Neodiprion lecontei: one gene and its partners. The protein of the gene in region 1 purifies or fractionates together with the protein of each later gene. This does not show direct contact. Links are inferred from orthologs where the notes say so. Each region holds a gene or a part of one and is shown in the gene's direction. Other genes may lie near its edges.

Region 1 (7,628 bases):
TTATTGGTTATTGTTATTAGTATAATTACGTCATCTTGAGTTTTATTTTAATAATTTCGTATTGCATGAATGTAGGAATATGTGAGAAATGAACACTCTGTATTGACACATGAGTGGTTGACGTTCGAGAGATAAAAATTCAATTTTCCAGATTATGTTTACTTCAAAATTTTCAATGTCTATTTACTGCACACACTATGTCATGAGCAAAGTGTTACTAGCATATTACGGATTTATTCATGTGATAATCAAGCTGCATTCAGTGTGATTTGAGTATAACCAAAGAAAAACACTACATAAGTGTAAAGTTAAAAAAAGAGGTATATCTTTTATCAGACACTTACCGCCGGTACATTGTCGCAACAGAGAAATAAGCTGGTGAATATAAAGAATATAGAGTCGCAAAAGTGGAATGCAAAGTATTAAAAATATTTGGTAAAGCCGCTTTCGATAACACACTTGACGTCTGCCGTTTGTACAATACGAAGTTAGGTTAGTATCACCAGCATATGGCACATTATGGATTATTCTAATATCAGTACATTAGAATAGCCTGCAGGTAATTAACATAATGTCTCTTATTTCTTTAATCCCCAGATGTGTTTCACGTACGTTTAACGGGAAGTTTTTATCAGTATGTAAATAATCTGCATACGGGTCTTATCGCACTTCCTCAGCCCTCTCTGACGAGAATCGGTCTAACAGCCGTTGCTAAAAACTTTAAAACTTTTGCTTACTCACCTGTAACACAAATTCACCATTCATGAGTCAGATCTTCAAGGCTAAATTCAACGTCAGTGGAACCATTAGAAAAATCGGATCTGACAGTTCTCCAATCCCTCCTTCTCTTTGATATCAGTGGACTAAATTCACGACTTCGTCTGCTTTGACAGGTGTGCGATGCCGTCTGCACTGGGCTGCTACTGGCATGGCGTAGAAATGGTGCATGAGATAACCAATCCTAGCTCCGTGGTGTTTTACAGAGTGATGTTTCCGTAACTTATCGCAAGATGTCGGTAAAAGACTTATGCGCTGACGCTGACGACTCACGGGCACGGCAAGGGCTCGGTTTTGGATGCGTTACGATGAACTGAAGACGTTTAGATGTGTCCCAGCTTTGCCTTCGGAAAGAGTATGGAAACTACACAAGGAGCACGAACTCCATGTAATCAAGTAGCAGCCTGAATTAAGATGACACTGGTGTTCCGTATGCACCGAAGGCAGTGCAGGGGGTATGGGGTGGTAGTGGAAACTTTCTACGAATTACATTGCAAGATCATCGATCAGTCGGCTTGAGCATCCCTGCAACCAATGACACTTCGGTACAAAAAATAAACCTAATGTAAACGATTACTGTGATAAGTTTAGTCAATTCACCTACTTGAGTTCTTGCTCATTGTGTAGTCTCCATGGGAAAGAGTTAGGTCTCCTCCCCTCTTCCTTCCTGGTAGCAACTTATCGCCGACTGAATGGAGGATCTTGACGTCGTGGGTGGTCCCGAGGTACCCGGATCGGGGGGTGGTCGCGGGGGCAGGGAGCAACGTGCGTGTGGTCCTTCGTCCGGCATACCCGACTACCCGCCGCCCGGCGTCGTCAGCTATAGAATGCGTTGCGGGCACGATTGCATGCGGATCGCTTTGTCTGAAAAGACGCTTCTCGGCGACGCTCTGATGACAAATCGGACAAATGTCAGAGGTTGTCGTGGAAAGATTGGCTGATAATTACTTACCTTGGTCAAGGAGTATTCGATATCAAGGTACGTGATCGTTAATTACACATCCCGGTTATTTTTAAGTAATTAAAAATTTTTACTTTCTCTTGGAGCTTTATAATTAATGGTATTTGAGGATAAAGTGGTGTGCATTGTGTGCAGTAAGTCCAATTTTCCATAAAAATATTATTTATTATAACAATATTATTTCTCCTTCGCGTGTATACACATATTTGGGTTGTCAGATTCTGATCATGTTTTTAATGGTAAATGTTAAATTAGAATGGTCAGAACCTGGCATCCTGATAAGCATCCATGCGTTTTAATTGTAAACATCATCGTCAACATAGTACTCAAACTTGCACACATGAATTATTGGTACTTATATCTTTGAAAAATCATTATTGAAATGAATATACAGCAACATCTCGTCAATAGGTACAAGATCAGCTTGTAGTAAAAAGATTGGTTTTTCCAGATAGACCTGAGAAACTGGCTACTGATTATGAGATTTATTTTACTATCAATAAAATAACGCAAGATGATAGTCTCAGTTTAGTCTATTTTACTTGAACTTGCTTTCTAGGAAAGAATATATGTATATTGTATACGTGCATTAAAAACAAGACTACAAGTGTAGCATTCTCTGTAATTAGATGCTCCAGCTTGCCTTTTTGATAATGGCCGTATTCTATGGAGTTGGATCAGAACTAAGCCGGAACTTTTTGTCTGTTGCCAATGGTAATAATGAAACCTGGAATGGAATAGAGATTGGAAGGTCAGGGCTCAGACATGAAGACCAGAGTTTCTTGATGGATGGATATACAAGTGCAGAGTCTGCAAATTGTAGAAAAGCGGCAAAGTGTATTGATATCAGCAACAATACTTTGTGCATGGGTACTAGATTGACGTATTCAACTACTACGTTAGACCTCATCCCTGATTCTACCTTAGAAGGAAGTATACAGGTTATTATTGTACATATGTATATTAATGATAAGGAAGCATGCATTTTGGAAAATTTATACTGAATACCTCCTGAACTCAGTACCTGATCTGTCAAAAATCTGTTCCAATTATAACGGGTTATTGTGATTCTGTTCGGGAGCAATACTTGAAAAACAGTTCTATTAGTGCTAAGAATAGCTTTGGTATTGATGGTAATCTTGAGATTCAATTTACTTCTATTATATGATGTAATTTTTTTAAAACCGAATCATAGGTGATTTATTTCAAGACTTTAAAATACTCTGAATTCTATTAACTGTTACTCTATGTATTTCACTGTGTACGTTTAACTGGTTTCAAATTAACTAATTGGATCTATGTATTTTGAATTCATCTTCACAGGAGAACTTGAACCAATTCCGTGGTCTTATGCACATTCCAAAATGCTGGGCAGTAGTTCAACCATTTTTGTGTTCAATCTTTATGCCAAAATGCATCAATGGCATTGTAGATTTGCCTTCGCAAGAGAAGTGCAAAATGGTCTCTGGCCCATGCCGTTTATTGTTTAATCACACAATCTGGCCAAGTTTCATCAGATGTGAAAATGCAGAACTTTTTCCAAAAATGTGTAAAAACGATGTCAGAGACTTGAAATTCAACACTTCCGGTAAATGCCTGAAGCCACTTATACACACAGACAATTCACTATCAATTTTCGACGGTATTGAAGGGTGCGGCACTCAGTGCAGCGATCCACTTTTCACACCGGACGAACAGCGTCAAATCCATTCCTTTGTCGCATGGGCTGCTGCAACCTGCCTACTGTTCAATTTGTTTACCGTGGTAAGTTAGTAGATTGCGATAATGAACTTGGCCCCTTGAATAGTTGCATTGAACTATAAGTATATATCAAGCTTTAGTTATGAATTGTGACTTTCGATCAATGAAAATTCATCAGAAGTTGTTCGTTATGTTTAGGTCACATTTTTGATTGACTGGAGGAGTGCTAACAAATACCCAGCTTTAGTAATATTCTACATCAACAGCTGTTTCATGGTATCGTGTGTAGGGTGGCTGGCACAGTTCGGTCCTGGTAGCAGAGATGTTATTGTTTGCCGAAAAGATGGCACTTTAAGAATGAGTGAACCAAGGTACATATAAATTTAAGTTGAAAATGAGCTTCTGCAAAGAATAAGATTAATTACATTGTTTCTTACTGATTTTTCAACGGGCCTTAAGTACGCTAGATGCATAAATAATGCCCTACTGAATCAGTATTTTACTATAGCAATGCGAATAATTGCGCTTATTTATAACCACTTATTCCTTATATGAACAATAAACTCATAATACTTTGTGTTTGTATACCTAAGTGAGTGCGTGTCAGGGAATATACTACACTAATATTACTTGGTAACAAATACATGTAGTTTTTCTCCTTGGAAATCACGTATTGCTTACGTTCAGAAACAGTTTCCTTGCTAGGCTATACTGAATAACTAATCAAGTACTTTAAATTGATAGGATACATGTGTATGTCACATCACATCATTGATTTGGTTCTACAAATGATAAACTGAGTGTCTGACTAGAATACTTATTAAGTAAAGTCTACTGTAATAAAAATCGCCTTCAAGCCATTTTGATATCTTTATTTGTGTCACGAGTAGATTGTAATTTTATTTTTATGTACCAATATTGAAATCATTTTGCAAATGAAGCAAACTTGATTCAGAAATTTTAATCAAATTAATCACACAACGAATATCTGTTTTGCAGCGGTGAGAACTTATCCTGCGTGGTGGTATTTGTTCTCGTTTACTATTTTCTGATGGCAGCTATGGTTTGGTTTGTTATCTTTACGTACGCATGGCATATGAGTTTTCAAGCTCTTGGAAAGATCCAGGACAGAATTGATAAAAAAGGAGCTTATTTTCATCTCATCGCTTGGTGTCTTCCGCTAGTATTGACAGTCACAATTATGGCTCTGGGAGAAATAGATGGAAACAGTGTTACTGGAATATGTTTTGTGGGCTATGCAAATCACGCTGTGAGAGCGTGGTTTTTATTGGGACCTATTTGCATTGTACTACTTGTTGGAGGATATTTCTTATCAAGAGGTATATTATTTTGAACTGATTTTGTTTTCAGTACAATGCAGTAATTCATAATCTAATTATACCATTCTATTTTTATGCTTTCTTCCACTCGTACTCAAAGAGTAAGTATGTTGCAAGATTCGTATATCTGTCAATTGATGATTCTACAACTTGGATAAACTAATTTTCTAATTGATTCGAAAAATCAGTTTCTCAAAAGTTTCTCCTGTTTCAGGATTGATAACGTTAATTCATCTGAAGATAAGCAGTCAGGAAGTAATATCTAAGCGAGCTAGCTCCAAAATTCGAGAAACAATTGTGAGATTGGGATTATTTTCGATATTTACCTTTGTGGCAGTAATAGTAACATTTTATTGTCACATCCATGAATTCCAACACTCGTGGGAATGGAAACAAAGCTTCCGAGATTATATGATGTAAGCGTTTGGTTATGCATAATTATTGTGAATTTTTTGTTAATAATTGTTTTTAAAGAGTACTTTTGTATGACCACTATCACTATATTGCTACAAAATACTGGACAATAGTAAATGTATAATTTTTTAAATGAATACCAATTTTATGCTTAGCTGCACTATTACAACGAAATATACTGCAGGAGTATCAGAATGTAAAATGACATCAAGACCCAGCGCGGCCAAGCTTCAATTACATTTATTATCGCCATTCTTTGCTGGTGTTTTAATGTCTTCTTGGGTTTGGACGGGATCAACTGTGGATACCTGGAAAAGATTTCTTAGACGGTGAGAACAAATTCCCCAAGACATGGCAGCTATAAGTAAATTGATATTGTGCAAATACTAAGTTTTATGTTGAAGGTTGATAAAGTAAATTCATTTCGAATGAATGACAAGAGTTCTTGAGAATTCTTCACCAGTATGCACTTTCACAGATTACGTAAGAATATTGATTTACTTACTTCGAATCTGTTCATCATTACAGAACTTTCAACTGTGAGGCAGAAGAACAAATTATACCAAAAAAGTACAAAGCAATTGCTCAAGCCTATGAAAAGAGAAATACATTTAAAAATGCTGGACGATTATCTATAAGCTTCCACAACACACATGAAGATCCAGTTGGTCTAAATTTTGAACTAAATTCAGTAGCCTCTCAAGACTTCAGTTCAACGTGGGCAGCTGCATTACCAAAGCTGGTGACAAGAAGGGGTGCTTTAGTTGGTGTAACAACAGGATCTGTATCGAGCAACCGACGGAATTCCGTTGACTCAGAAATTAGTTTTAGCGTTCGTCGTGTGTCTGTAGAGTCCCGAAGAAATTCATTGGATTCCCAAATCTCTGTACAAATAGCAGAACTTAAGACAACTAGAAAAGTAGCTTCCACTACGTTACCTGGTAATTCTCGTAGCAGGCGAGGAAAACGTAGGAGGCGCGATTTCAACAAGACAAGATCTGGAAAAGTTAAACCACTTTTTCGAAGAGGTAGTACAACATCACAGGAGAGCGAACTGGGAGCCCAGATTCTTTCAGCTTTGACTATTGGAGGGAATCCCAACATTCCGCCCTTACAAATGCCAAACATGAAAAGAAGATCTGCCAGTGCTGGCCTGGATGGGCAAGCCATAAATTCAAAAATGCTAGATGGTAAAAACGCAGGCATGATATTGCCGTTTTTATTCCCAGGACAAAGTGAGAGTGACGAAAACTTGAGCAGTGAAGAGAAAGGTTCGCGTATTAATCCACGTAAAGACATCGATGTGGAAGCCTGCAATGTGGATAAAGAAGAGCAGGACAGTGAGAGCGAAGATAGCCATGCTGAAGAAAATACGAAAATGATATCTGTTGAAGAACCTCCCGAGCGAAGTAAAAGTAAGTCAAGTAACAATAGTACAAAGAGCTATATTCATGACAGTAGTGGTCGACGTAAAGAACTGAAAGTAAAAGACATGGAAGTAGAGCTCAAAGATATGTACAGAAAAGGTGACCTGGTATCGAGTTTGACATCTTTCTGTCCGGAGCTCTCTCGACTCATACAATCTGACGATTCGAAAACGAAGTTAACAAAGCGTCAAAGTGATGATGCAAACATTCAATCCAATGCCAGAGAGATGGCTACACAAACTTCTCTCCCTCTTGATATTTTAGAGATGGAGGAATTAAAGCAAAGTATTGATGAAATAATTAACAGTAGAAATTGTAGCTCTAAAGGGACACAGATTTCCCCACAACTCAACAAAACAGCTAATCGTAAATCTTCTGACATCAGGTAGAGTTGTTTAGTCATACATGAAAATTGAAATGTGTTTTAAGCCGGTTTAGTGTCAGGTAGTGTGGAGTCAACATACGTACTTGCGTGTTCAACAAATCTAAGCTATGTTTCAGGTAAAGCCGAGTACTGTTGAGATCTATACTTCTTTTAACGTAACTCTTTTAACGTAATAACATTATATTAGGATAAAAAATAAATCCAGCTAAGTAATAAGTATATTTTAACTCTGTTCAATGTCGGGAAATGTATTTCGAGAAATTGACCAACTTTGTAAAGCAAATAATTGTGATACTCAATAAGCATGATTACTGAACATTATACAACTAACCGTCACAATTTATTCATCTGAAATCAGATGATTTAATTGTACGTACTCAACACTTCTTATATTTCGTTATAATTTATAGTATCATGATGTGCCCTTAATTTACTTTTTTCAACTTTCATGTAAGCTATCTATTACGAGCATCCACGTACGCCATTTTACATAATCTTGTTGACATTTAATTAAGGTATGATTTAAGATGCATGCCAGAAGTTGGCAAAATATGGAGGCAAACAAATTCTTTTTACATATTTAACATTTTTTTTATTCTCAAATCAAGACTGACTGAGTGCAT
Region 2 (4,831 bases), about 21 Mb from region 1:
GAGCACCTATATACTCACACCTCGTACATCGGCGGTCTGTGCAGAAGGGGGGTAAAAGAGAGGACGGGATAGGAGAAGGATGGAGAGAGACAGAGAGAGAGAAAGAGAAAGAGAGAGAGAGAGAGAGAGAGAGAGAGAGAGAGAGAGAGAAACCGAGCGCTGCAGGTGGAGGCGGCCGCGTCACCCGCCCGTCCGCGGATTCGATTGAATCATTACGATGCGGTAGGTGGTTGCGTGGGTAACGGTGAGCAGCGGCGCCGAGAAGAGTTCTGCACCCTCGATTTCAGGATCTAATGACTCTATTCCGTTGATACGTACGGCGGTGCTCCGTTTCCGTACGATGTATCCTATCACCGGTTAGGTATGATACGTTTCGATGGTTCGGATCAGGATGTGGAGAGTTAAAGGTAAGGAGAAGTATCTCATATGGATATTCGAATGAGAAAGTGTTCGCCGATAAGCAGGAAGTAGGGTTTCAACGAGACACCGGAACGGTGCTCGTGAGGAATAAGGGAATCAATCCGATTGGAGCTTTGTGGAGCTTTCGCTGCAGCAACGCCATCCTAATTTCTCTCTACTTTACGGAACACTTTCCGCACACTGGAGATAGTCCTCCTTACCTCTACCCTCGATAGATTAGGGAAAGAGGGTTCACGTCGAGGGGCGGAAGGGACTGCGAAATTCAACTCTTGTGAAAACAGAAAGCGTCCTGCCGTATAAGCAGGATGACAACTCGCCCGTGTCTCTGCGGCTGTAACCTATACACGAGAAAGGAAAATTGGAGGAGAGAAAAAAAATAATAGGCGAAATAACGTGGAGACATCACCAGGGATCACCGGAAGTTGTTTCAACTCAACACCGAATTGGGACTTCGGCTCCGGTGGCATGTGGCAATAAATACCTATACTTGAGCGCGTCGGCGCGGAAAGGAGCGAACTCGGGACTAGTTCTCTCATTCCTCTATCTTGTAGGTCCCTCGAGTTTCCCGATCACCCCAATTGAGAGCTGACGGCACATCCGCTAAATTTCTTGACTTTTTACCATTATCATTATTACTGCACTTCTCGCCGTGTAACGCAACACCCCAAAGTTGGGGAACGTAGAGACAAATTCCTGGAGTGAAAAGTGAAATTCGTCCGACTCAATATCGACGATATCATTTTCCAGCTCCCGCCCCACGTTTTCATTCAAGACTCACCTATCTTACAAACTCACCGCAATTGCGCACGCAGGTTGTATAACGAAGGCTGTGCAGATCACTTTCACAAACGCAACGACACCACCTCGGTTATCTTCGTTTCTCCTCTCTTTCCTCCTCTTCCTCCCCCGCTATAGAAGAGGGAACGACGACACCCCACCTCGTCCACCTCGTCACGCGAAGAAGAAGAAGAGGAAGAAGAAGAGTAAGAAGAAGAAGAGTTCTCTTCTTCCGTCTTTGTCCCGCTGGAGAAGGACGGCGGGGAGGAGCGGTTGGGCTGTTGCAGCGCGAGGCTGGTGCTAGTTGAGTTGTCGAGCTGACACGCGCTTTCAGCCCTCTCCTCTCCTCTCTCCTCTCTTCGCTCTTCTCTCCTCTCCTCTCCTCTCGACTCCTCTCCTCCCTCCTACGCGCCACCACTCTCGGACAACTCTGCTCTCCTCGTCGCGCTACCCCTGGCTATTCCTCTCTCCCTCGCTCTTATTTTCAGTTTTCTCTCATCTTCTCACTCGCACAGCACCACCAGGCAGGCGGTGCCGCCGCCGAGAACGAGTGCCGGGAATGCCTGGCCGCCCCTCTCTTCGCATCGCCGAGGACTCAGTACCGCCATACCCGTCAAAGCGTAAGGAGCGCGACATCACGTGGAACTACAAACACGTTGTTTCTCTACACCCACGATATCGCATCGCACCGTACTCAAGACCCAGTATTTCCATCGAATTCGACCACGAGTCCCTTCGCTCCTTATCATATTCCAACGGCAATTTGGATTTCTTTTCTTTTTCGGCTTTTCCGCAAGTGTGCGAATTCGGACTGTCGCTGTCACTTCGAGTGTCTCGTTTAAACCGCGGCGTGTTTAAAATAAAGAGATAAAACTTGCTGTCGGTCGAGTTTATCTCAACGTATGAGAAAAACAACACAAAACGTGCAAGATGAAGAAGGATTGACGTGAAGGATGTGCGGCAACCAAACCGATAACACAGTGATTAATACTTAGCCGCAAAAAGTGATCGAAATAAAAAGAATTCATCTGTAACTGGGGGGTGTGAAGTTTGAGTGGATTTTTTACGATTCGTCGAGAAATATACTGGAGGAAAGTAAATGAAAAATGCAAATAATGTAACCGCGTGGTTTAAATTAAGCCGTATGCGAACGTCACCCCGTGTGTGAAATTCTGCGTTGCAATCGAGAAAGAGAGAGAGAAAGCGAGAGAGAGGGGAAGAAAAAAAACACTAGTGCGGTAAAAAAGTTGACTCGCAATCAGGATTAGTTCGGGTAAAGAGTCCAGCTCAGGGGATCGGATCGGTAAGAATGTCAGCGAAGAACGAGGACCCGAATCAGGGTTAGGGACCGTCGGGGCCCATCGGCGACCAGCAACCGTCGATATCCTGGGCCGGGATACGCGAGAACTAAACCGCAACCACCGACGAAGAACCCGGACGATAAGCGACGGCCATGCGGATCAGGGTGAAACTGACGTCGAGTACAATAAAGGACCTGCAGAAATCGTCGCCGCGACGAACCCGGGATATTTAGGCGGCCCCCTCGACTCGGATCGCGGGTTCCACCTACGGCTGGAAGACCGACGTCGGTGTCCGAGCGACGCCGACTTCCTCGAGCACATCGGTTACGGGGCGAACTTCCGGGCAGCCAGGAACAGGGCGTTGACAACCCGGGAGATAGAGCTGGAGGTTGAACTCGAGGCGGCCAAGATGCCCGAGAAGGAAGTCGCCTACCATCAAGAGACCTTCTCCCTTTTGCCACCGCCACCGCCCCCGCCCCACCACCACCATCACCACTCGGCTTTTCACGCCGCGTTTCACCCCCACGGACATCCACCGCCGCCCTTTCACCCCCATCATGGACCGACGGCTCATCACCCCGCCGCAGCTGCCGCAGCCGCAGCCGCAGCCGCCGCATGGGAGCACCACGCCGCAGCGGCGGCCGCAGCAGCAGCCGCGTTTCACGCACCGCCTCCGCACCATCCGTAAGTCCCAGTTTTCGATCCTTCTTCAATCGCAGTCCGCGGATAATGTTTGAGAACCGCCGATTGTTTGCACTCTTCGCCAGATTTATGCATACCTAACCTTCGCTTATATCTGCACGGAACGTTTTTAGACAGACCACGATACGTATTCCGGAAGTTTTGACCGATCAAGCTTGAGCAAAGACTCAAATTGTCACGGATACCGGGTTCCAGTAATCGTCAATGAATGGTTGAGATTGAGTGGTACGAATCGTTTACCACTTCATGCGCGTCAGGTTTCAATGATCCATCACGAACCGATTACTCAAGCTTGGTGATACAGTAAGGATTTGAGTTTGCAATAAAACTTGATAGATATTATAGAAACGTTAACTTCGTGCACAGAATCCGATTCCTTACTAACACATTGCCCAAACACGTCGACCAAAACTGCTAAATGTAGAACAAGCGAAACCAAGAAATCGGTGAGACAGAAAAGTGCTTATCACGTCGAAGAGAGAATCAACGCGATAATGAATCTTCGGTTATTATATATAGAACATACAAGACTGATTTCTCTGACAGATATGATGGGGTGCAATATGACGGAGAATGAAAAAGAAATATTGTACGCGTTGAAAGTTTGTCAAGGTTTCAAATGGAGTTAAGCTAATTGCCGCGTATATCTCCCAACATTGTTTTCCTTCTTCTTCCACCGCGCAGTAACATTAGACTATCACTGCACTTATCATTACCTACCTATATAGTAACGTTTGACGGAATCGTTCGTTAGGCTCTGCTGTTCGTAACACGCGGCACCCGAGAGTACACAGACTAAACACGATTCGAGTCCCCCGATCTTCATAGTTGGAGATTACCGCGAGCCGCGGCATCGAGTTGCAAAAAGATATAACGCGATTATACAACTAACGGCGTTCCGAGTTGATATCGGGGTATATATATAGTAGTTTGATATTATAAAATACAAACAACGCACACGGACGGACTCTCGATGAATCGGGCGCGGTATCAGTGCCGGAAAAGAATAAAGAGGCCGATGTATATTTTTGGCAATCTAAAACCTCGCGTGTTCCCATCATCATCATCATTATCATCATCATCATCATCATCATCATCATCATCATCGTCGTCATCGTCGTCTTCGTTCCTCCGTTCACTCTTTGTCGGGAAAGAGAGACCTTGCGCGGATCTTTGTTTTGTTATGTAGATTAGCGCAGGTATAAAGGTATATAAGCCAAAAGCAATTCACCTTGCTGAAAGATGAAAAGAAATTTTTCATGGATTCTTTTCAGAACAGATGGGGGATATTCGAGTTCATTATATCGATAGAACGTCAATCTTCGGGGGGGCATATGCACAACCTGCGACCAGCAGTTGCGTGCATCGCAGGACACTACACGATATACGTACCAATAATATACATGATAAAACTGATTGCCGCGCTCGTTCATATAGGTGATCACCTATACACACATACCTGCTTTATAATTGTGCAGTAAAATTAACCGCCTATCTCAAGTTGATACTCAGATAACAACGGCACCTCGGTAACCCTTGCATTCCATTCTTGTCACTGCGGTGTTGCTACCGAGTGCCTGCACTTGCGGCAAGCACTCACCACGGTGCGTGCAACATTGTCACAGTACCGC
Region 3 (4,667 bases), on another chromosome or scaffold:
ATTAGCATTCACGGTTTGATGGTTTTGCAGTCTCTGGTTTTATGGGTTATTGCAGCAGTGCTATCTTTACATTATATTGGTTATGCATTTATCTATGGTTTTACAATCTTCTATACTCCGGGCTATGTAGTAAAGCGTATGTTGCTTATAGTATAGCTCTCACCTCCGAATGCACAAATGGCATTGTTGAGTGCTATATAATAATTGAGTATAATTGTGTTAGTTAATTATAGTGTTAATATGATAGTGATATATAATAACGCATAATAGTATTATAGTTCTCTGTGGTACGAAGATCTCGTAACATGGTTTTTAAGCCTTGGCTAGTGAATTTCATAGTTATTTCCATCTAGGGATATTCCAAATAGTTAGACAGTTGTTTTAATTTCTTATGGTTACAAGATTCTCGTACTTCGAGTTTGGTTAGTTGATAAAAGTAACATGCAGTAATAATAGTCGATAAAACATACGGACGTTCCGGTCGGATGTTACACGTTCGTAGATTTACCATAGCAGCGCCATCTATTGATTACTTACTCAACCCAGTCGAAAGGTATCGACATCTGTTAGAATCATTCGGAGTTGACAGATAATTGTGACTGTCAAATAATAACAGACAAATAATTAGCAATATATTATAATTGCGACTATAATTTGAGATTTAAACTATCCTATCTCTCAAGTTGGATCGAACTGCACATGGTGTGCGTATTTTATTATAATCGGTTAAGTGGTTTAGGAGTCCATTGAGGACAAACATCGTGACACGAGATTTATATATATTAAGAAGATGATAATAATATGTGAAAAAAATATCCAAATTACACAGATGATATGAAGGAATTCGATAATATAAGACTATTAATAGTACGGTAAAAAATTGCCGTAAATCACAAATCGAAATAGAGACATGTGTTCTTATAAAGTGCGTGGAAAGAATAATATCGTCAGAAAAATATAACCTAAAGCTTACCAATATTGAAAAAATAAGGATATAAGTACTCACATGGATGTAAAAAAGCAGTCGAAACTCTACAAAAGCATCTGATGTTACGAAATATAACTTCAAACCCATAGTTACCGCATCAAATACATGTATAATATGAGGTGATATATACCAATTGGTTTATATGCCTCAGGAAGTAAAAATATGCATTCAGTCGCGTGTTTCCCGCCGTTTGCTGTCAAATTTGTCACACCAATAATTCTTGTTCGTTATGCCATATGCCATGGAATATGGCTTATGGATCTTTATGTAGATTGAAATCCATAATCCATAGGCAGAATGCATAAACCATACGGACTGGCCTTTTGCAATTGCGCATGTGCTACGGCTTCTGCATTCTGCCTATGGCCTCTGTAATTTTATGTGCTCCAGCCTTAATTCTGCCGCAAAGTGCTGCCGAACACGGTCTTTCATGATCGGATGCTACATGAAATGCTACGGATGTGTTGAGGTCCGTGAACAGAATGCTGCCTGGGTAGTTATGCAATAGTCCCCGGAGTTTGCCCAATCCAGGCGCACCTAACGTACGACCATCGTACGACAGCTCCTCATTCAACACTAAATTGCTTTGTATTCCATTCCTCATACTGGCAATCGTTGGTCATTTACAGGTGTTTGATAACACAATTGCAATGTTTGATAACTCGACCGCTTATTCAGGAAAATTGAAACAATTGTAGTTAGGCATAAAACCGATAGCATAATTGACCAATCAGAGCATTTTTGCTGCTGATGCATTAAGACCGTGATATAGTCAGATCCAGTTGAATACCTCCGTGTGCGCGGTACGCGTTTGAGGTGGAGTATATTTCAGTGCCTTCGATTACCTGCGTTGACTTTAATTATTTGTCACCTGTCAGTTGGGAGTTGCGGGTAACTGTATCTTTCTGTTTCCACTGTTAAAACACTAGTATGTTCAAATCAACGACGAAAGAGACGTGAAAGCAAATGTCACCGTTTCTATAACCACCAATGTTGTGTGACGTACATACCTTTCATGAGGCATACTACGTATTTGTAATGATCGGATCTGTAGAATCCTCGAAATACAGTCAACTAATAGAAGCTTGGCTTTATCCCAAACTCACAGATACCGATTTTTTAGTTCGTATTATATAAAAAAAAAGTTATTAAAACATGTTGAACCGTGTTCAATGTGTACCAATTTTCATGAAACTTCACGATGTCGGTGCAACTTTCAATTGATCATTGGAATAACTAGTTGTACGAACCTCAATTTCCAAATCGTCTGTTTCAAACGTTGGTTAAGCAGAAGACCCGACTGACTTTTTAATTTAAAAACAGAATCCTACAGTGACAATGCCAAGTACTGTACCCACTTGTCCGCTTCATTGTGCCACATGTTTCGAAGATTTAACGAGCCAAGCAGAAGTTAAATTCGAAAAAAAAAATCCTAAGATGGTATGCAAATCTTTGGGAAAATTACTGGATGAAGGAAAGAAACACAGATTGACTGGAGATGATGAAATGGCTTATATAGTTTATATGCGATGGATTCACTGCATTCGCTGGCTCCAAAAAACGCCTGATTTTACAGAAAACAAAGATTTTCTCAAGCCTTATGTTTCGGGGTCTAAGGTAATCCTGGGCAAAAGTTATAGATTTTGGTAGATGGCAGAAAATGTTAGGTTGACCTATTTCCAACATTTTTTTTTAATAGTACATTATCCAGCCCTCATACCTTTTAGGAAAAATTGCTTGACTTTTGAGCAGTATTGATTTTTCGAAAATCATTACTTAAATTAGGCAGCTAAGTGTGTGTGATTTACAGGTAAAGGAGATACTAAGTCTTTTGGAGGAAATTGCTGACAGATTGAAAAACAGGTATAAGGTGAAACGATTGGAAGAGAATACTAAACAGATACTGAATACTGTTGAAAAGGTGATAATTGAAAGCGATCACATGAACGATGATGATTTGTTAAATGAAGTTGGGGATATCGAGCTGAATTTACCCGACACACCGACGGATGACCCAGATACCAAACTGACTGAAACGTCGATAACATGCATGGAGATGTTTCAAGAAATGCAAAAACTGGTTGATCGAATAATAATAATTGATATTAGACCGCGAGGAGATTTTCAAAATTCACATATCAGAAGCGATCAATGCATAAACATTCCAACTGACCTAATAAAGACTGGGTAAACACACAGTTTTCATTGGCTTTAAATGAGATACTCTTCCAGGGTGTATACGCACTGGAGAAATGCCAGAAATTTTTCTTACTGGGGAAAAACTGAAATTTTCTGGTACTCTGTGATAGTAAGATAAATTTTGCACAATTAGTGCACAATTCATGTTTTGTTTAGAAAAATTTTTTCCCATTATGCCTGGTTGACATAGTGTAATAATATCGTTTGTCTAATGGTATAAAGACATATGCACCAAAGATGCGAATTTCTCGGAAGAAAAAATCTGTTAAAAAATTAGACGTAAAAATTACAGAGGTTAATGGCCCTCTGTTTGGTGGATATGCCCTTTTGCACCAAAAAATATTTTTATTTATCACACTTATAAATGATATCAGGTTGCATCCGCCATTTTTGTGTTTTTTTCGCGACCAATGCAAAACCCTTCAAAATATGAAGATTTCTCAATTTTGAAAAAAAATTTACAATTGCGTCTTTTGTCAAAAAATATGGTTGGACGTAAGGGTATAAGATCGTATTCGCCAACTTATTTTAAAGCTTTGAAAACCTTTCGAATGTAAAGATTTATTGATTTCGGAAAGGATAAAAATTTTTTTTTCACAAATAATTATATCGGACATAACAGTACAAGGGCGTATTCGCCAATTTATTTTTTCTTGCAAACGCTTTAAAAATCTTTGAAAAGTAAAGATTCATTTATTTTGGGAAGAATGTTTAAAATTTTTATTTTCTCAAAAAATAACATCATACGCAACGGTATAAGGTTGTATGTGGGAAAATGCGACCTTACACCATTAGAGAACATGATTATTTTTCATAAACTTTGTGATTAAAGGGCATACCGACCGTACGTACGACGCTCTACATTAACTACATTTTTGAATTTCAATGTTTTCGAATGTATGCTCATATTTTTCGCTTAAATACGATCGAGGAAAAAAAATATGCCTTTTTATCTTTACATGTGGTAAAAGCTCGTATAATGACACATACATCCTTATACCATTAGACATACGATGAACCTGATGTGAAAATAAAGGTTCTAAAATATTTTACACATTTAAATTATCAATGTACCCTGAAATTCTTAACATGGTGATGAAAAGCTCCCGCACGCATTCCTGTGATCTCAAATTTTATTGATAGAATTTCGTATTTTGCAAGCTATAAATAACATTCATGAAAATTAAAGCGCGATGTTATAAAAGTATATAAAAGGCTTGTAATTTCCTCGATATGCAGAGTAATATCAATAATCTATGTCTAGGCACTTGGGAGAAACATATTTTTCACTGGGAAATTCTAGAAAAACCCGGTATTTTTTTTTTTTTTTATTCCCAAATACACCCAGTCTTCATACTGATTCTTGAATTGTTATTTATTAAACGAATGAAACATGTCGCTGGTTATTTCTAGTATTTCTAATATTTCAGAATACTAGCTACCGATCTTTTTAAACGATTGAACGGGGATGAGAGAACAT
Region 4 (5,023 bases), on another chromosome or scaffold:
CCCGTGAAGGCTCACTCTATAGTACGAATGGTTACTTCGTTTGTGCTTAAGATATCATACCGGAGATTGTACAGTTTTAAATTAAAATTGATATCAAAGTCCTCGGATTGTCAGTGAGCAGTTAAGAATCGAACGAAAAAACTTAATGGAATGAAATATTAAAATCTTTAAAATGTTCTCCTATTTGTCCATTCGGTTTAGTCGCGGGTGAAATGAAGCATCATGGGTATTTTCTAATTACGAATATCATGCTAATAACATTAGTTTCGATTCTCTTGTTATTACACCGCCATTTTAAGGAGCTAATTTCTTTCTGCAGTCAAGATTTTTACAGAAACTTGAAATCATGAATGAAAAATTCCTTATTGGAAAAATATCCGATCTCGATATCACAGAGAAGTATCGCATTAATTAAGTCTCCAAGCTATATATCCACATAAGCAGCAAAGATCCATGTTCTGTAACCATATGTAACGTAGCTACAAGCAAACCAAATAGAAAAGCTGTACCCTGCTAGGATATTTCTTTATTTACTCGAAAACATCCCAATGTGCAGGCTCTTATTCGTAAAAGAGATATTCACTAGATAATTGCCGTGGAGAGGAATATTCAGAACAAAACTAGACTTCGTAGTCATTTCCAGAATCATTAATTTCTACAAGTAAGGAATCCCCCGATAGGATGCTTTCGATCAATTATCCTGACTAAACTTTGATAAGTGATCCAATTTCAATCTATTAATAGCTAGCAGGATTTCGAACGAAGTTTAGCAACATCCATTTGAAACACTCGCCTTTGGAATTGTATCCAATTAATCAATTTAGAGTGCAGAATTATGGAGTATGTCTACAACTGTGCCAAATGGACGTCCGAAATAGAGACAGTTTACATTTACATAACTTCAATTGTGAATGAAATTTAGAAGTCTGGTCAAAGGTCCATTATTTTTTTATTGATCATTCTTGTTACAAATTGTGAAACGATACATCGACATAGTTTGACAATCTGTAACAAGAATAATTTGACTGAAGAAATATTCTTCAGTACCATGATGATATAACTGATATGTTCTTCAGTCAACCTAGTTATGTCGTCCGCGTATATTTCATATTTTTTATTTTCTCATGTAAATTTGGTAGTAAGTACGATTAAAACTTCAGCACAATATTTGAAATAGAGAATCCCTCGAATACTATTTCCTTTTAAAGCAATTTCCACGGTTTCCCACAAAATATATTTTCGATGATTATTTGAATTACCCGCGGTAATGGATAAATTGACTACACGCAACAAAGAAAATAACACGGTATCCAGTTAGTATAGGAAGAGATGTTGGTATCACTGATCTCTACTATACACTGGTATAGCTCTGTCTCTCTCCCATTTCCGGACACGTCAGCGCCGTATGCGTGATCCACGCTCTATGTCCATGGTGTATGTAAAAACTGCATGTAGTATAACTGCACCAGAAACCTAAGATAACGACTGTGTACTAGTGCACAAATGCACACATAAGGCAAACAGTATCTCCACTGAGAAAATCCTTATTTAGTGACATTATATTATACACAAGGGGTAAATAATAAATTAACGATGAACAAAGAATTCATGCGCTGAATATCGATTCTCATAACTTTTATAGACAAAGAAGTGTACAGTAAAAATAATTTACAGATCAAATAACAGTTATTGACATCAAATTAGAGCTTTCGTAAAGTAAGTAGACGTATGTTTTCTTTCGTCCGTGACCATCGGCGGCTCGTGCAAGCGGTTACAAAGAACGGGTCAGCGCGCGTAGCGAGTCAGCCAGGGCGCATGTATCACGTTACGAGTTACGCATACCAGACGCACACAAGGCGATGCACAAGGCATCAGCATCGGCCAGCACGCAACTGGCGTCGCGGCAAATACGTTGCGAACGAAGTTAGTCACTTGACGGCGGGGGGAGCGGCCGGAGGGCGGAGGGAGGGGGTTGCGGTCGATATTCGACTTGAGCGGTGGCTCGAGCGGGACTTGGGAGGGAGAGGTTAGGTCAGTCGACACTTTGACAGTAATAAACCGACGCGAGAGAACATATCCGCCGTGCTCCGAGACGCTGTCTTGCTCGTTCCGATATATCAGAGAGAAAAATAAGATCTCGCACAGCTTCAAAGTCATATTAATCTGCGGCGGTTGTCGCGAAGCGAGTCTTTTTTTTTTTTCACGACAAGGTTATGTAAAATCTATCCTGTGGCGCCAGCATCTACGGCGCGGACGTGACGTATCGAGGAATCGAGATCACTTGTTCACAGTAATCAGAGTCGGGATGTGTATCTTCGCTGGTTGATATCGTACCTTCCGTACTCTACGTACGTTTTGTGTTTGAAACATACAAACGCGTAGTTTTGTAACCGTTCGACGTATCGATTAGTTGTATTTTTTTTTTTTTTTTTACAATAAACCCGATGCCGGTGCAGTGTGAGTTCATCGAGTGTTGAAACTGTGGTGCCGTTCGCCTATGAATTTTCATTGCCGATCGCAAAAGGGTGTGGAACTACGGGGTCTCTAGGACAAGTTAGGTGAGTCCTCTCCCTCGCTCTATTTTTGTTTCACTACGTTTATCGTTTAGGTACATAGATACTTTTTTTTTTTTATACCTTTTTACAAATTTATTTTATACACGATTTTCATCGAGGTCTATCTACGCCTGCATGCTGTTCTTGGTAACAACTGAGTGACGGGCAAACAACGTTTGACGTATGAATACTATGAATGTATGTACGTCGCCGCGTTTCGTTGTGATTTTTTACTCGTTTCTTTCAGTTTCCTCGTCCCCATGATCCCTCGACCGACGACGTCAGACGCCAGAAATGCGCTGTCAGAATTCTCGGAATTTTTTTCAACTTTGTGATTATCGCCCGCGAATAGTACTCGTCCTACCCTACGTTACTCAATACGGCCTCTTAGGACGGTCGAGGGTTATTAAACAAATACTATACATATGCTCTAGGAGGCGTGGCGGGACCGAATAATTAATTTCGAAATTTATATCCAATTGCGCGCGAGATTTTAATTAACACTTTCAAGGAGGTGTCGTTTCGCATCAACAAATAAATCTGTCGAAGCTTCGGAATTCCAAGAATCGGAATGACGTAGGTTTCCTTTTATCACAACCACCAGTTTAGTTTGAGGAAAAGGCTGATTAGATCGCACCTGATGACAAATAGTAATGTCTTTTTTTCCAACGCTGCCGGAAACAAAGTGAAACACTTAAATCTTGCTGACAGTGAGGATCTTAACTTTATTATTATTGTTATTATTATTGTTGTTGTTGTTGTCGTTGTTATTATTATTGATACCGATATTATTACTATTATAATGCATCGCGGTTATGTTTAACAAAAACAGTCATCGCACAACCTACGTGAGTAATGAACTTTACCGCTGATAAGAAAATGAAAACGTCGACAGAAATATAAAGAAACAAGAGGGAAAAGTGAAGAGGTAGAAAAATTCTTCTATTGTATGAGAAATTAGTCGAAGGAATCAAAAGTGGTGTAAAAAAAGGTATACAAAGACTTGACCTACCCCAACCTGTTAGATGCATAACGTGGGAACTTCCCACGAAATCCATAGAGCTGCTACTACTTACTCGAAATGCACGAAGCGAGTGTTAGAATGCTTCACGTAACATCCTCATTCATCCGTTAAGAAAGTGTAGGATGTGTTTGAGATCGGTTATAACTGAATTCACATAGCCGAAATACTTCGTACCGTGGGAAAATTCGGAGCCTACGGTACTGTGCGAACATTTTCTTAACGTTTACATGTTTCTTCGGAAACCTCATTAGGCGTTACTTAATGTGGTTGGTTGCCCATAATTCGAAATATTTTTATTAAGTTTACTCCGAGATAATCGCACATTTACTGTTTGTCAAATTATCATATTTGCAAGCTACGAAGATTTCATGAAAAATATAAAAATATAAAATGTTGGAAACATTAACAACAGCGTGGATATCAATGCTTCGTTTCAAATCGCTTCGAAATGGCTAAGAATATAATAGATCTATATTCGATTTCACTCTACGATGGTTCGTTATATTTAGAAGACTTTCGCTTTTCACAAATTACAATACAATACGATATTTTAGCGATATTGATTATGATCAAAAAATGGCAATATCGAGTTGAGTAGTGTAAAAATGATCTGTTTTATTGCCTTTGTAGAAAATATAGTCTTTTGAATGAAATGAGCCCGTCGTAGAATGAAGTCTATTGAATAGTTGAAAGCATCTCATAGCAACAACTCGTACATAATTCGTACAACTCTCACGGCGTGGCAAAATTCCTTGGCGCCGGTTAAAGCTGACTTAACCGATATTGTGAGTCAACTGAGCATAATTGGGAATGCACGCATCAAATTCTTCCTTAACTTGAAAGAGGTGGAAGTTCGTAGCGTTTCACTACAATGCGAATTCAGAATTAGTTGGAAGTAGTTGATATTAAAAAATATGACCGTGATTTGCTTTATTGCGGTTTGAAATTGGTGAATTTCAAACAATCCTAAAATTTCTAAATAAACGTTTCTTTCGACAACGAACCTTATTAATTTGAATTGCTCAATTCCTCATCATCATGACAGGTTATAGGTATTGTCGTCTCTTTATACCTGTGTACACACAAATGTAGATTTACGAAACAAATCGTGGGCTGTAGACTTTTGTCATCATTCAATATACAGTAGCAGCATAATGGACAGCGGAAATTCATAAAGTAATGATAATAGTTCGTATTTTGGATACCGTATCAAATGCGAGTATGATTATCGTAACAAGTATGTAGACACGTAAGTTATGGGAAATTCCATATCTCGAATAACCGTAGACTACTTTCCCTTCGATTGCTTTTCTGTGTCGTATTGTTATCGAAAATCTCTAACGGAACAGCAGAACATTCTCAAATCTTTTTCCGGAATCAGCCTGAATTTTCTAATGTTGAGATATGACGATTCATTATTCTAAAAAATTGTTATTACGGATTT

The links.
Region 2: the proteins of protein smoothened (region 1) and transcriptional activator cubitus interruptus-like purify together in Drosophila melanogaster (affinity purification with western blotting; 3 studies listed by BioGRID, with this or other methods). This does not show direct contact. The link is inferred for Neodiprion lecontei from reciprocal best matches to the Drosophila melanogaster genes smo and ci.
Region 3: the proteins of protein smoothened (region 1) and ubiquitin carboxyl-terminal hydrolase 8 purify together in Drosophila melanogaster (affinity purification with western blotting, with the first as the bait; 4 studies listed by BioGRID). This does not show direct contact. The link is inferred for Neodiprion lecontei from reciprocal best matches to the Drosophila melanogaster genes smo and Usp8.
Region 4: the proteins of protein smoothened (region 1) and beta-arrestin-1 purify together in Drosophila melanogaster (affinity purification with western blotting, with the first as the bait; 4 studies listed by BioGRID). This does not show direct contact. The link is inferred for Neodiprion lecontei from reciprocal best matches to the Drosophila melanogaster genes smo and krz.

Annotation. Positions count from the first base shown.
Region 1 is NC_060260.1:28,862,952-28,870,579, reverse strand, and holds the start of protein smoothened, read left to right. Parts: upstream 1-1,618; 5' UTR 1,619-1,756; intron 1,757-2,367; coding exon 2,368-2,679; intron 2,680-3,061; coding exon 3,062-3,502; intron 3,503-3,637; coding exon 3,638-3,810; intron 3,811-4,438; coding exon 4,439-4,779; intron 4,780-4,993; coding exon 4,994-5,195; intron 5,196-5,348; coding exon 5,349-5,522; intron 5,523-5,721; coding exon 5,722-7,009; 3' UTR 7,010-7,628. UniProt on the Drosophila melanogaster protein: Segment polarity protein required for correct patterning of every segment. G protein-coupled receptor which associates with the patched protein (ptc) to transduce the hedgehog (hh) signal through the activation of an inhibitory G-protein.
Region 2 is NC_060260.1:7,977,227-7,982,057, forward strand, and holds the start of transcriptional activator cubitus interruptus-like, read left to right. Parts: upstream 1-1,810; 5' UTR 1,811-2,907; coding exon 2,908-3,182; intron 3,183-4,831. UniProt on the Drosophila melanogaster protein: Has a dual function as a transcriptional activator and a repressor of the hedgehog (Hh) pathway. The full-length ci form (ciFL), acts as an activator (ciA) while ciR, its C-terminally truncated form, acts as a repressor. Involved in segment polarity.
Region 3 is NC_060265.1:31,615,605-31,620,271, reverse strand, and holds the start of ubiquitin carboxyl-terminal hydrolase 8, read left to right. Parts: upstream 1-1,637; 5' UTR 1,638-1,879; exon of another isoform or gene 1,880-2,230; intron 2,231-2,311; coding exon of another isoform or gene 2,312-2,326; coding exon 2,327-2,605; intron 2,606-2,798; coding exon 2,799-3,175; intron 3,176-4,617; coding exon 4,618-4,667.
Region 4 is NC_060263.1:23,041,461-23,046,483, reverse strand, and holds the start of beta-arrestin-1, read left to right. Parts: upstream 1-1,997; 5' UTR 1,998-2,558; intron 2,559-5,023.